Lonchura striata: one gene and its partner. The protein of the gene in region 1 purifies or fractionates together with the protein of each later gene. This does not show direct contact. Links are inferred from orthologs where the notes say so. Each region holds a gene or a part of one and is shown on either strand. Other genes may lie near its edges.

Region 1 (7,039 bases):
GCATTCAACATATTTTTCTTCTCCTTTTGTCTCCTCTGCAGAACCTCAACTTGCACCTGAGATTAGAAGCAGAAAGTTAGTGTTGTTCCTTGCAGTGTCCCATACTTTTGTTCTGTTTTCCTTCAGAGCAGCTAGATGGAAGACTAGACAGATCTGTGTGTTTTAGCCAGACTCCTGTGGTCACACTTTTCCAGCTCCCCACTCAGGCTCTAAATTCTTTTCACAGATCCTTTTGCACATGTCCCTTTTGTAGCTCCTCACCTTCTTGCCATATTTTCTCATTGCACGGAGTTGTTTTGCTTTCTCAGATCTTTCCATTGCTTCTTGTTTACTCTTAAGTTTCTGTCGAATCTAATTAGAGAATAGAAAAAAACGAAATTTATTAGTAACACATAAAAAAAAAGATAATTTTATAATTTCTGTACTGATCTATAGCCAAAATCTGGCTAAAAAAGACAAAACTCACACAAGAGAGAAGACAAAGCCATATAATAGGCTCTAAAGAACTGAGAGTAACTTGTCAGTCTATTTGGGTGTATGAAAAAGACTTAATAGTTTCTTTCTTGTCATTATTAAAAGTAAAGCACTGAAGAAAAGACAACAATCCTGTAGAAAATATAATTTTTGTTTCCTCCTTGTTGACAAACATTTTTATAAGGATGCTGCCTTATGAAGAATTACAAAAATTTCAACACACATCTTTGTGATTCAGTCTAGTGACTCCAGCAGGAGATAAAAACTGTTCTTCAAATGCAAGTCAGCAAAAGATGTGCAGGATTGACTTAAACCTTAGTATTGGCTAATTATCATTCTTCATCTTATCTAGAAATGTTCCATCAGAAAGCAGAATAGTGACCCAATGATACATTAATCTTCAAACTAGACTCCAGCTCATGCTTCTTTAATTTATACAATGTAGTCTTTTTAACAAATGTAAACCAAAAAATAGAGTTCAATTTTGAACAAAGACTACAGGCAAAAAGGAAATGTGTGAAATACTTATTTCCTACACCAATCTAACCTCCTATCCAAAACATATTCATTCAATAACATACCATTTAAAATCACAGAAAACCGGAACACACTGACAATAAACAAAAGGTGTCTTTCCTTAAATAGGAAAAAAAGAATTGCTTTAAAGCCACAGTCAACTGCAAGTTTTATGACAAAGAGCAAAAACAGGCAACTTTACATCCACTGTTACACATACTAAGAAAAATTCTCCCTTTTTAATATTAAACACATCCAGGACAAAGTAGAAATTGTGTTTTTCTACTTCATCATCCAACCTGTTATAAAACTCTGCACATTGCACCAAAAACCTAAATAAAAAGAAATCTCCTGTCACAAAGTTTCAAACCAAATCATTGTCACAGGAATTGGAAAAGCGACAATGGTCAGTACTCATATGTCACACCTTAAATTTAATCCTTACCCCAGACTAAAACACTCACATTACACTGGAAAGAAAGCCACTCATTGCACGTACCTTCTGCATCTGTTGGTCTGATTTGGCCATCTCTGCAAAGTAATCATCCGGCCTCCTCGTGGGAACTTGCAGCTTATGCAGCCTGGGGAGGGCTTCCAGGACAGCTGCCTGTGCCTGCCGGTAGCTGGGAGAGAGCAGAGCAGCAGCTGTCACTGCAGCAGCCTGTCACTGCACTGGTGCTGTCACTGCAGCAGCCTGTCACTGCAGCAGCCCTGTCACTGCAGCAGCCTGTCACTGCACTGGTGCTGTCACTGCAGCAGCCTGTCACTGCAGCAGCCCTGTCACTGCAGCAGCCCTGTCACTGCACTGGTGCTGTCACTGCAGCAGCCTGTCACTGCAGCAGCCCTGTCACTGCATGTCAGGCACCTCACAGTGCTGACACAAACTGCTCACACAAGCAGGCTGATGCTGGGATCTAGCACGCATTGGTCTGGAATTATATCACCATTCTGTGGACGTCCAGTGCTACTGAAAGCGGCTTAGGTGCCAGTACAACATTAACATTTATATCTTGCACATGAACATTTATCTTATTTCCAGTTATAGGGGTTTTTTTTGTTGGAATATAAAAGGCAAAGCAAAACAAGAGAACTGTAAGAGCACCAAAACAAACCCACAAAGAAAAATTGTGTTAGTTTGTCCTGCTATCAAGGAGCTTTTAAAATAAACTCAGCAAAAGATGAAGTCTGCTATGAAGAGGGAAATTATTTATTTTCAGTCACACAGCAGTTGAATATACTAGCACTAATTTGTAGTTATTTTGGAAAACATTGAGAGCCATCGAATGTAAAATAACATGGCCAAGAGTAGCACAGTGACAGCCAGCGTAGCAGCCTGCAGCAACCTGTAGCACACTGGTGAAACGTAACTCCAAAAACGGAGCAACATACTGGGACGCCACATGAAATCTCCTTTTGACACTTACAAACTCATCTCTCTCTGGAAATCATTCTCAGGGTCAACGGCATCAGACGCAGAAGCACTCTGAGAAACGGGGTCCGCGACCGGGCCCAGAGTCACGTCCAGCCTTTCCACCCAGGCCAGCTGCTGCCTGAATTCGGCCAGGCACTGCCTCAGGCCGTCCTGTGAAAGGAGCACAGCTCAGCACAGCAGCGCACGGCCCGACCCGGCCCGGTGGCCGAGCGGCACCGGTGGCTGCTCCTGGGGCCGCCCGGCCACAGCCGGCCCCCGCCCCGCAGCGCGGAGCACCGAGCCCGCCGGGGCTTTTGGTGGCCCCGCGCTCCCCGCTCACCGTGTCATTGCGCCGCTTCGGCCGCTCCTCCAGCACCACGTTCAGCCCCGGCTTCAGCGCGCCCTTCGCGAAGGCCTCCTGGAGCTGCGAGAGAGTTCGGTCAGTCCGCGCCGCCGGCACCGAGGGGCCCTTCCCCACCGGCCTCGCCACGGCGGCCACGGGCTCACCTCCGAGTCCGAGAGCGAGGAATCCTCCGAGTCCGAGCCGGAGCCCGAGAAGGACCCACGCCGCGCCGCCGCCGCCGCCATCGCCGCCGCCGCTTCCGGCCGCGTGCGCCGCCGCTTCCGGGCGCCGGGGCCGCCGGGGCCGCGGTCACCACGGCGACAGCGGCGGCGGCATGGCGGCGGCGGCCGTGCAGCCCGTGGCCGTGTTCGGCTGCCGGCCGCGGGTGGCCGGCGGCGTCTGCTTCCTGGAGGAGCAGGTGGTGCTGCACGCCGCGGGGGCGGGCTGCCTGCGCCTGCACCTCGAGCACAAGTGGCACAACTTCATCCCAGGTGGCGCCGACCCCGGTCCCCACCCTAACCCCGGTCCCGGTCCCGGTCCCGACTGCTGACCGCTCTGCTCCCCGCAGGCACGGAGAAGAGCCGGGGCGTGCAGGCGCTGGCCGTCAGTCCCGACCGGCGGTTCCTGGCGCTGTCGGAGGCGGCGGGGGAGCAGCCGGTGCTGGCGGTCTATGAGCTGACGGCGGAGCGGGCGCGGCGCCGCAAGGTGCTGGCGGCCGAGGAGCTGCCGGCGCGGCAGGCCGTGTCCCTCGCCTTCTCCCCCGACTGCCGGCTCCTGGCGGCCGCCACGGCGCCCCCCGAGGGCCACCTCGCCTGCTGGCTGTGGGAGAAGCGGCAGCTGGCGGCGGCCGTGCGCCTGCAGGCCGCGGGCGGCGGCCCCTGCCAGGTAACGGCTCCGAACTCCGGAGGAGAGGGCTCCACAATGTATATTTCATAGTTTCTCTGACTTTTCTTGCATCTGCTGTTAGCCTCCCTCAGCAATAGGACACTAGGCTAAATAAAGTTTTGCACTGACCCATAAGAGACATTCTCATGTCTGTATCTGTTGTATCACATGAGATTCTCTTATATCACATGAGATCTATGTCATGGTGCCACTGCTACTGGGCTGTGCCCAGTAGTTGTAACACACTTCTTGGAAGCGCTCTGCACCTTTTCCTTCCTGCAGTCTTCTGTGTTCAGAGTGGAGGAGATGAGTGGTTAGGAGCAGGCTGATGGCACAAATAATTTCTGCATCCAGGTTTGGGTGCTCCTTTTTAGATTCTTTTATGTAGTAGGGAGGTCTGGTAGTTTCAGTCCATGTGTTGGTTGAACTCCAGCTGACATTTTTTCTGGGGTACAGCTACAAGCAGAGGTTGGCTGACCTACTGAATTCATGACCTCAACTCTTAAAGAGAGGGGAATGTAAAGACTGGCTGTGTAAAGTCCCATTAAGCATAAAAAATTACTTCAAACTACTCTTCCTATCCTTCATGTTGAGTATTGAGATGGCTATTCCATAATTTTCACAAATAAACACCTAATTATGTGAATTCATGTTAGCCTGAAACACAGGTATACAGAACTTATTCCTGGCCTTTTGAGAACAGATGGTCCCACTTTTCAGGAAGCTTGTTACTGGAAAAATTTGTTAATCAGTAGTAAAGAGGTATTTTGGCCTTACTTTAGTAATTTAACTTTAATAGACACACTTTTCAAAGGGGGAAAACTGCAGTCTGGAGTTATGGTGGCTAATTCTTACTCTCTTTGGTATTCCTGTATTCTGTTGGTATTTGGTAATATTTGGTATTCCAATATTCTATTAACCATCTTCCTTTGTTTATTTTCCTGTATCTGGTACAGAAAGTATTCAGGAATAATCATTGCTTATTTATGAACATAGCTGGAAAAAATACTTCCTCTCTTTTTTGTTCCACAGGTGAGCTTTAATCCTCAAGATAATACCCAGGTTTGTATCACTGGAAATGGCTTTTTTAAACTTTTCAAGTACAGTGAAGGATATTTAAAGCAGATGAATTTACAAAGGGGACAGCCAGAAAACTACTTGTGCCACGCCTGGCTGTCTGAGGAGGAAGTTATATGTGGCACTGACACAGGCAAACTTAGCTTGTTTGAAACTGGAGAGCTGCACTGGGAGAAAAGTTTGGAGTACAGAAAAACACCCAGGAATCAAGAAGATACAACAAATGAATATGAGAGGTAAATCTCTTCACTGTTATTAGTAATAGTCCCATGGTTTTGCAGGATTAGTTACTTCCTTCCTGTCCAGTTTGTCAGCTGCTGCTTAGCATTTTTTTATTTGTGCTTCTTTATTTTTAAGTCTTTATGGATTTCCTAATTGCATTTCTGGTGTTTCTAGTGGACTGGCCTTTGAAGATAATGATTTACAACAGCATTCTTTGCCTCAAATATCTGCAGTTGCAGCATATTCCAAAGGTTTTGCATGTTCACCTAGCCCAGGAGTTGTTCTTCTGTTTGAAAAGACTGGTGAAAAGGAAGTCTATGAGGAGAGACAAGAAGTCTGGGTAAGGAGGAAAAAAGCTTTTGTAATCAATTATGCAGCAGAGCCCTGTTTAGAGAACTGTGTTTCTGATTCAGTTATGAATAATAATTTTTAGCACACTGCTAAACTGCATTGTAAGGATTAGCTAACTGTCCTGGTGATGTTGAAAGGAGTTGCCAGAGGTAACACTGAAAGTCAGTGCCTGATGACCTTTTGAAAGGTAGTTCTGTATCTTTCCTTCCCACATATAAAATGTGCTTTGAGGGTGCTAAACCTTAGGAAAACTTTAAGAAACTTTTATTTGTGGAGACTTTGGGGACTAAGAGGTAGTTTAGATCAGTTTTGAAGAACCTGGCTACTTGATTTTTTTTCCAAGGAGAGCTTTTCTCCCCTCAAGTATTTATTACAGCTGTCATGAGACCTGTGCACACTTAAATAATCCTTCTAACTGTTTAACTGTTCTATAGCAAACTGTATGCATTGACCTACTGAAATCTCTGTATAAGAATATTTAACTCTAACAATCTAGTCAAGATTCCATACTCTCATTCTAAAAGGTCATATCTTCCCTATGCATGAGATCCTGTAATAAGACTTATCTACCTTAATGATACATTACAAAGAGCTCTTATTCTAACCACAGTTTTTAGGCAGTTCTCATTCTGACACTTGTTATTTTTTTCTTGATATTTTTCTACTACCATTTTAATTCTTGTTTATTGCAGTAATTCACATTACTGCTGAAGTGTCCCCTGATACTTCGTTTCAGCTGTGATGTTATGAATACCATTAGGTTGTTCTCTTGTCCTCTATTCCATGCCTTGCAGTAGTTATGTGCTATTTAATATCCAAGTTGTCTTGCTGATATTATGAATGTGCTTATTAGAGGAGCATTACAATAAAAGTTTGTGTGTGTGCATGCCTACTACCAAAATATGGAAACCTGGCACAACCCATGGGATGCCTTTTTTGTGCAGCTGCCTCAAGACCAGTTTAGCACTGAGCCAAAAAAGTCAAGCAGACAGGACATTGCATGTATATGCTTCAGCCCTTCTGAGGAAATGATGGTCGTTGGCACAAATAAAAGTCAGATCTACATGTTTACTATGTTTTCCACCAAACTTATAAGGGTAAGTGCAGTTCAGTCTCATTCCACAGCTTTCATGTCCAGTATTGTAATGATACAGGCCTGTCAGTATTGTTTTCTGTGATGCATTCTCATTAAATCCTTCAAATGGACCCTTAAAGCTCAAGATCTGAAGTGCTCTGTGTGCTTCTCTGAGGGCAGTGTTTTTTAGCCCCTTGCTCAAGCCTCTTTCCCTGTGAACATCTGAAGCTTTTCAGCAGAATGACAGAGAACACTTAAGACCATTAAAGGGTGCCTGTTACTGCTGAACCACTTCACTCAGGCTTTAACTGAGATATCCTCAATGTAACTCTGTGGTTCATGCTCCACTGTAATATGCACAAACTTTATTGCAATGATAAAGCTGGAACAGCCATGGGAATCTTCTTTTACTCCAAAATGATAGTTATTGAAGTCTTAGCTAGAAGTGAAACCTCTCTATGAAATACAAACATAATGAAAACCTTCCCTACTCTGAAGGAATTAAATAACACAAAGATAAGTGAAAAATGTATTATCTTGAAATAGACTTTTATGTAATTGAGTATACCTAACCTGTGTACAGGCATACAGAAAAATCTTTACAGGAATAGGAGTTGTAGTTAGGAGTTCTGTTTCCACATGCAGCCTAAAATTTTATTGGTGCTTCACTTCCAGCATGTGGTAG
Region 2 (7,028 bases), on another chromosome or scaffold:
GTTGTGCTAAGAATGATCCCAATCCTTTGTGATCTTTTCAAAGTTCAGAAGTATAAAACTGCTACTTGAAAAAAAACCACTTGTGATTCTTAAGTATGTTGCCAAGAAAACATTTCCAGTGAAGAAACACTACAACTACAGACTGACCTGAATAAACAATTCTTTTAGCAGGGCATAGTGTGGCTCTCGGTCGAATAGCTACAAAAACAAAAATATTATTTTACATACAAGGCTAAATGCAATAGTCATGCAAAAAGAGTAAGAACACACCCAAATGAAATAAAGCCTATACTTACTGGATCAAAAGACAAAAGGGGTCTTGAGCCCCTTAGGCAATTTCCTGTCATCTTCAATTCAGCCAGTGTGTGAACTACAGTGATTAAAAAAAAAAGTTATTACACACAGAAAATTTTTCGGACACAACAGCAAAAATACAAACACAGTAATGTCCACCAGCTTACCATTCTGCACCAAGAATTTAGCAGATGGTCCCTGTGGCGTGTTTGAAAGCCTTCAGAGGACAAGCGGTGGGGAACAGAGAAACAAAAATGTTAACAGCAGCCAGAATTTATGTTAACAGCCAGATAGATTTCCACACTACACCCCAACCAGTTATTCCTGCATTCAAGTAGTTTCTGCTACTTTTACAGCTGTACTGTAATGTGTATGTATGCTCATAAAAACTTGTTTTCTAAACAATTTTGTAAAATGCTTCTGCGAACAATGTCCAAAGCTGTTCACTGTAAATTTCCACAATCCACAGAAGTACAATATTAGAACAAATTTAACTAAGCAGCCGTATTTCATGCATCTTCACTGTTAGAGTCGGAAACTTCAGATAGAATTGCAGCTATAAATAGAAATGTAACAAAGCAACATTTCCTTACCACATGTAGAGATCCTGTTTCTTTTTAGCTTCAAAAAAGATGCACTTATTGCAGTTTTTCATTTCACACACCTACACAAGACATATCAAATTAGTGCTTACAAACATCCTGAAGACATTTTTGATAACTTTCCACATTCATCTCTAACATTTTTTCCTTCTCCAAAATGGAAGTACAAAATAATATTGTCTTATTAAATGACATCTACTGACACCCAAAATTTGGTTTGGCTTTCTTTTTACATTTCACATACTTACTACAAGGAGTAATAACCTCCTTAAAGCTACAAACAATTTGATAATCCTATCCAGGATACAAACACAATAACATTAGGTTCTAGCTTGAGAACTGTCAATATCCTACTATATTTGGGCTGGTGGCATATATATGTCCTGCACTGTTCAAGCATAAGCTGTACTACACTTCTCACCTACACAAAAAGCACATTATGCTAAATTTCTTCATGAATAAAATCTGTATCTAATTAAAAGTTTCATTCTGGTTTTATTAACCAAAAGTCAACTTTTGGCTTTTTGGGTATCAATAATTTTCACCACTGAAGTTACACTTTGAAATCGGTTGCCCCTTTCCCTTGCATACTGAATTTCCATATAAAATAAAATAAAATAAAATAAAATGAAGAAGCACCAAGACAAATACTGAATTACCTCATTGATTACAAATAATTGGTCTTTACGGTCCATTTTAGTATCTGGAAGACAAAACCAACATTTACAAGGGTGGAAAACCAATTTAATACAAGAGATTCTTTGAACAGTCAGATGTTTTACAAAAATTGTACTAGTTTATAAATGAAAGGGTAATTACCAAGTTGTTCCTGTCACGTTATAGAACAAATAGACATAGCAACAAAACTAACTGTGCAGGTTCAGACTGAGACCATAGGATTCACTTCTCAGAAAATACTATGGTACAACAATTGCAATACTTGTTGGCTCAAAGGGTGTTTGTTTAAGATACAAGCTTCAGCAAAACTCTTCTGTACCCCATTTTAAAAAAATAAAAGAACAGATCATTTAGAGCTTTTAGCTTTAAAGTAGTGTCAAAATATAAGTTAGGAATGATGTTCAAACCCCACCTGCTTTAGAGTGAGGCATCAATGTCCTTAAGTCCTGCATTAGGTGTCTTGTTCTGAAATTAATTCCACGAGAGGAGAATATCAGCACTCGCTCCTTGTTCTTCCATTTGCCCTAGGAAAAAAAGGCACAATAGTCACGTGGGAAGCTTCCAGCCTTAATAATGTCATAACGCAGCAAAATAAAAGTTTGGACAGTCAATACAGAAAGACACAGCAAGAACCTTGGTTTTGATCTGCCCACGCAGACAGGAACCACGCTCTCTTTAAGAGTGAACTTCCCTACAGCACGGGGGGCACTGCTTTTACAGGAGGAACCGTCCTCATCCTGATCCACGGCGTGCTCCCAGGCACATCCTTTCACTCCCATCCAACTACTAAAAAGCCACACGTGCATCGCTTATTTTCCTGCAAAATGGGCTCAGGGACAGCCCCAGAGCACAGCCCAGCTTCTCCTGTCGACGGGCGTATTGTGAAATCTTTGTGTTTACGCGCAGTATTCCACGTTTTTCCTACAAGCAAACAATTACGGAAACCTTCTCTGTATGATTCCTAAACGGAACAAGTACAGTTTCCATACAGCTTCAGTATACAACAGAATTACCCAATTCTTTCAAATACTTTTGAGACTGAGGTAACACATCTTACCGACATGGACCAGGCTAACGCTTCTCGCGTACAGAAAAAAACGCGCCACCACGTGTACTGTTAGTTGTGATGGTATTATAAGAGATTACGAATAACCCTCCCTGTCACGGCTTGGCCGCGTTCCCTCAGGCCCCCCGAGCCCGGGCCGAGCGGCGGTACCTGGGACACGGGCGGCGGGATGCGGTATTCCTGCGGCGGGATGCGGTTTTCCTGCGGCGGGATGCGGTATTCCTGCGGCGGGGCGCTGCGCTCCCCAGGGCCGCCCCCCGGCGCCGCCTCGCCCGCGCTCGGGGCGCTCCTGGCGCGCTTCGCCTTCCCCCCGGCCGGCGCTCCACGTTGTCTCTTGGCCGCCATCTGTCCCCACGCCATATCTCGCCGGTGTCCGCCCACTCCGCTTCCTGTGTCGCGTTTCCTGTGCTCCCGCCTTCCCGGTGCCGCTCTCCGCCCCCCGTGCTGCCGCCTCCTCGGGCCCGGCCATGCCGTTCTCGGCACAGCCGCCCGCCAGCGGCGAGCGCTGCGCGCTGTCCGCCAGCCTGGACAATGCCCGGCACCTGTCCAGCCTCCTGCGGGCCGTGCACTTCCAGGACTACGCCACCTGCCTCGCCACGGCCAGCGGGCTGCGCGTGACCGTGGAGGATGCCAAGTGTATCCAGGCCAACGCCTTCATCCAGGTACGGGGACACCGGCGACGGGGAGGGCGCGGCTGCCGCAGCCCGGGAGGACAAGGAGTCTCTGGATAGGGTCCGCCGGAGGCTGCAAAGGTGATTAAAGGACCGGAGCATCTCTGTTGTGAGGAGAGCTGGGTCTATTTAGTCTGGAAAAGAGCGGACTGAGAGTCTCACCAATGCATATAAATATCTCAAAGATGGGTGCCAAGAAGATGCTGCCGGACTCCTTTTTGTGGTGACCAGTGGCAGGAAGGAGAGCAATGGGCATAAAGTAAACCACCACCAAGTTTCACCTCAACACCAGGAAGAACTTCTTTACAGTTAGGGTGGTAGAGCACTGGAACAGAATGCCAGGGAGGTATTGGAGTTTCCCTCTCTGGAAATATTCAAACCCTGCCTGGATGTGTGCCGTGTCACTTCCTCCAGGTGACTCTGCCTTGACAGAGGGTTTGGACTGGATAATCTTTAGAGGTCCCTTAACCCTAACAATTCCATGTGCTCACCTGTGGAAAAGGGGAGACGTTGCTGGAACCGAGGCAGAGGTGCCTGGCTGTAGGAAGGACCGTGGTGAGTCTGCCCCTGTTTGTGGGTGTCCATGCTGCTGGAATTCCAAACCCGGCACCAGTACATCCCTGAACACGTAACAGTGTAGTGGGTTTGCGCCCTCATCTAATATATTGGTGCCTGCCAAACTCATGCTCCTTCTGGTTGTGCTGTTCTTAGTTGCACAAGCAAGTGCTCACTGTACCTCTCTTTTTATAGCTCATCCCAAAGCTAAAAGATTGGATTTTTGTCAACTGTGAAAGAGTACAGATTCACAGACACTTGATTGAAGATGGTTGTGCTGTGTTCAAAGCACCTCAGGATGCAGTTTTCTCTCTGGGCAGCCAGGAGAATATGAAATTACTTTTCCAAAAGCACCTCATGCCACCTTGCTTTATTTCTGAGATACTCTGTTCTCGTAGGTGCAACAAGCAGTGAGTACCAGTGACAGACAGCACAGCATAGAGCAGTTTATCCCCATCAGGCTAGTCAAAGGCAGGATTCAGCACATATTTCAGAGTGGTGAAGTCACTGTTCTGTTCTTAAGTACTAGTATTTGGAATGTTTATTCATGCTCTGAGCATAAAAAATATGAGTATTGTCACTGTAGAAATGTGACACATTGTACAGTTCCATGAATATTTCTAGCTCCAGAAGTAAGCAGCTCTAGGTTTTACCATTTGTAGGTTGTACTTAAACCATAAGAGACAAGTATTTAGGTTTCACGTTTATGCCATTTTACCTTGTTTCAAATGTAGTTTGGTTGTGTTTTCCTAGTTTTGAGGATGAAGCCCCATTTTTCTACAATCAATGTTGTGTTGCATGTAGAAATCATTTTGTGTTGTACTGATTTCTGGATGGGAAATCCTGAAGTTTAAGCTGTAAAATAATTGCAGAAACTCCCAACTTTTCATATTTTTGCTTTAATTTACAGGCAGAAATTTTTCAGGAATTCTCTGTTCAGGAGGAATCAGTGATGTTCCGGATCAGTTTGTCAGTTCTTCTGGACTGCCTCACCATTTTTGGATCCAGCTCCTTGCCAGGTGTGGTATATTTCCATGAATCCACAGAAGGTTGTGCTGGCACTGCAGGATGTGTATTCACATGGCATGGAGTGATACCATGGCAGCTTTCTGGACAGTTCTGCTCTTGCAGCTCTGTGTTGTACTCCTCACTCCCCTGCAGTTTTGGTTGTGGATGACCTAAAGATCCAAATCGAGTGTGCTAAAGAGCACTGTGGTTTTAGGAAACCGGAGGTTCAGGTGGTGATAACCTGCAACAAGAGGGTGTGACTGCAGCACAAGCTCAGCTGCTTTAACTTCAGTTTAGGTTGCACAAGTAACAAGAGTAGTAAGGAAAGATGATGTGAGCCAGAGAACCACAGGGCCATGAGGATTTTCCAATTCCTCTAAACTGTTTGTAGTGCGTCTTAATTGTCAGAGCTGGTGGGTGAAATTATTTGGCTTTAAGTTGTCTACACACAAGTAATTTAATTTTACTGCATACCCATTAGCATTTCAGAGGGTATCTAGGAGGCAGCACTAAAATTGATCTGTGGCCTGTGTGCCAGAAAAATGTGAGTTTTCTAAAGTGATCGAATGTTCTTGCTATGGTCTCTGCAGAATGTATGTTTTACTCTCTTTTTCAGGAGCATCAACGGCCCTTAGAATGTGTTATCGTGGTTATGGCTATCCACTGATGCTGTTCTTGGAAGAAGGAGGAGTAGTAACAGTATGCAAAATCAACACTCAAGAGCCTGAGGAATTGTTAGATTTTGATTTCTGCAGTACAAAGGTTGTTAATAAAATTATCCTGCAGTCAGAGGGACTACGAGAAGCATTTGCTGAACTGGATATGACCAGTGAAGTTCTGCAGATTACCATGTCTCCAGATAAACCCTACTTCAGGTACTAAAAATGGCTTTCAACTCAAATGTTTGTGCTTGGCTGCCTTTGGTGAGGAGTGGAAATTTTCACGGTGGAGAGAGGGGAGCTATTTTAGAATACCAGTTCATTTCAGGAAGAATTATAATGAGTATAGTAAATCACAGTATGTTCTCTAATTAACATAGTAATGAGTATTTTGACAGCCTGGTAAATGTGACACTGGTGTGGACAGTTGAGCATTTTTGATTGAATAAAGTGAAACAAACAGCAGAGTTTGGTAAAACAGTCATGGGATACGTACAGTGACTAATTTTAATGAGTTTTTACAGAGTTCTCATCAGGCGTTTTGAGATCGTGCTTTTTGTCTTCCAGGTTATCCACTTTTGGAAATGCTGGAAGTGCACATCTAGACTACCCTAGGGACTCTGATTTGATGGAAGCATTCCACTGTAACCAGACCCAGACAAACAGGTTAGAAAGTGATTGATGCTCTCTATGCCAGGTCATACGTTCTTGACGGGAAGTTTAAGAACTGCCTTTGCATTTCTGTAACATTTATTTTATTAGTATGGGGGGCAAAAATACTCCCTGTCTGATAAAAGGCTGTGTCTGCAATCAAAAGCTAAGTGATGACAATGAGAGTTCAATGTTGTTATCAGGTAAAGACCAAATAAGTGTGTTCCTTACTGTTTTTTGTTTATTCTGGGTCTTTATTCATGATTCATGTTGCAGCTCCTCTTTGCACAATGTATTTTTTTCATATTACTGAAATAATCTATAATAGTAGTATTTTCTTCTGCAGGTACAAGATTTCTTTGCTTAAACCATCCACAAAGGCACTGGCTTTGTCTTGTAAAGTGTCCATTCGAACAGATGCTCAAGGATTTCTTTCACTGCAGTATATGATTAGGAATGAAGACGGACAGATCTGTTTTGTGGAATACTACTGTTGCCCTGATGAGGACATCACTGAGGCAGAACTCTAGGTGTGTGTACTGGTGTATCTAATATATTTTTGTTTATATAAAATATTATATTTTTTACAAAACTTAATGAAAGCTGTAGATTTTGATAGAGTTAATATTGTCTTTATTTTTTAACTCTGGAATAAGAAAGCTAAAAACTTTCATTTTCTTGCACTGCGAACATTTCTTAGCCTTGACTCAAACTGAAGCTGAAAAAGCAGAAAGGGGAGTTGTCTCATAGACACTGCTTCCAATACAGATGTTAAAGTACTGTTTGTGCAATACATTGATGCTATTTGCAATGCTCTCTCAATAATTTTTGTTTGTGTTATGTT

The links. Proteins that work in one complex are often made in the same cells at the same time.
Region 2: the proteins of EBNA1BP2 (region 1) and BRIX1 purify together in Homo sapiens (affinity purification with mass spectrometry; 4 studies listed by BioGRID and IntAct, counting the BioPlex papers as one, with this or other methods). This does not show direct contact. The link is inferred for Lonchura striata from reciprocal best matches to the Homo sapiens genes EBNA1BP2 and BRIX1.

Annotation. Positions count from the first base shown.
Region 1 is NC_134611.1:15,146,635-15,153,673, reverse strand, and holds the start of EBNA1BP2 (putative rRNA-processing protein EBP2), read right to left. Parts: upstream 3,017-7,039; 5' UTR 2,990-3,016; coding exon 2,909-2,989; intron 2,826-2,908; coding exon 2,742-2,825; intron 2,573-2,741; coding exon 2,415-2,572; intron 1,614-2,414; coding exon 1,490-1,613; intron 352-1,489; coding exon 262-351; intron 57-261; coding exon 1-56. Other genes in the region: CFAP57 (cilia- and flagella-associated protein 57), read left to right, coding at 3,079-3,235, 3,313-3,629, 4,662-4,942, 5,103-5,268, 6,224-6,376. UniProt on the Homo sapiens protein: Required for the processing of the 27S pre-rRNA.
Region 2 is NC_134642.1:38,213,309-38,220,336, forward strand, and holds the start of BRIX1 (ribosome biogenesis protein BRX1 homolog), read right to left. Parts: upstream 3,001-7,028; coding exon 2,791-3,000; intron 2,099-2,790; coding exon 1,987-2,098; intron 1,600-1,986; coding exon 1,556-1,599; intron 959-1,555; coding exon 888-958; intron 512-887; coding exon 462-511; intron 371-461; coding exon 297-370; intron 199-296; coding exon 148-198; intron 1-147. Other genes in the region: cell cycle checkpoint protein RAD1, read left to right, coding at 3,108-3,302, 4,777-4,885, 5,491-5,749, 6,101-6,199, 6,531-6,714. UniProt on the Homo sapiens protein: Required for biogenesis of the 60S ribosomal subunit.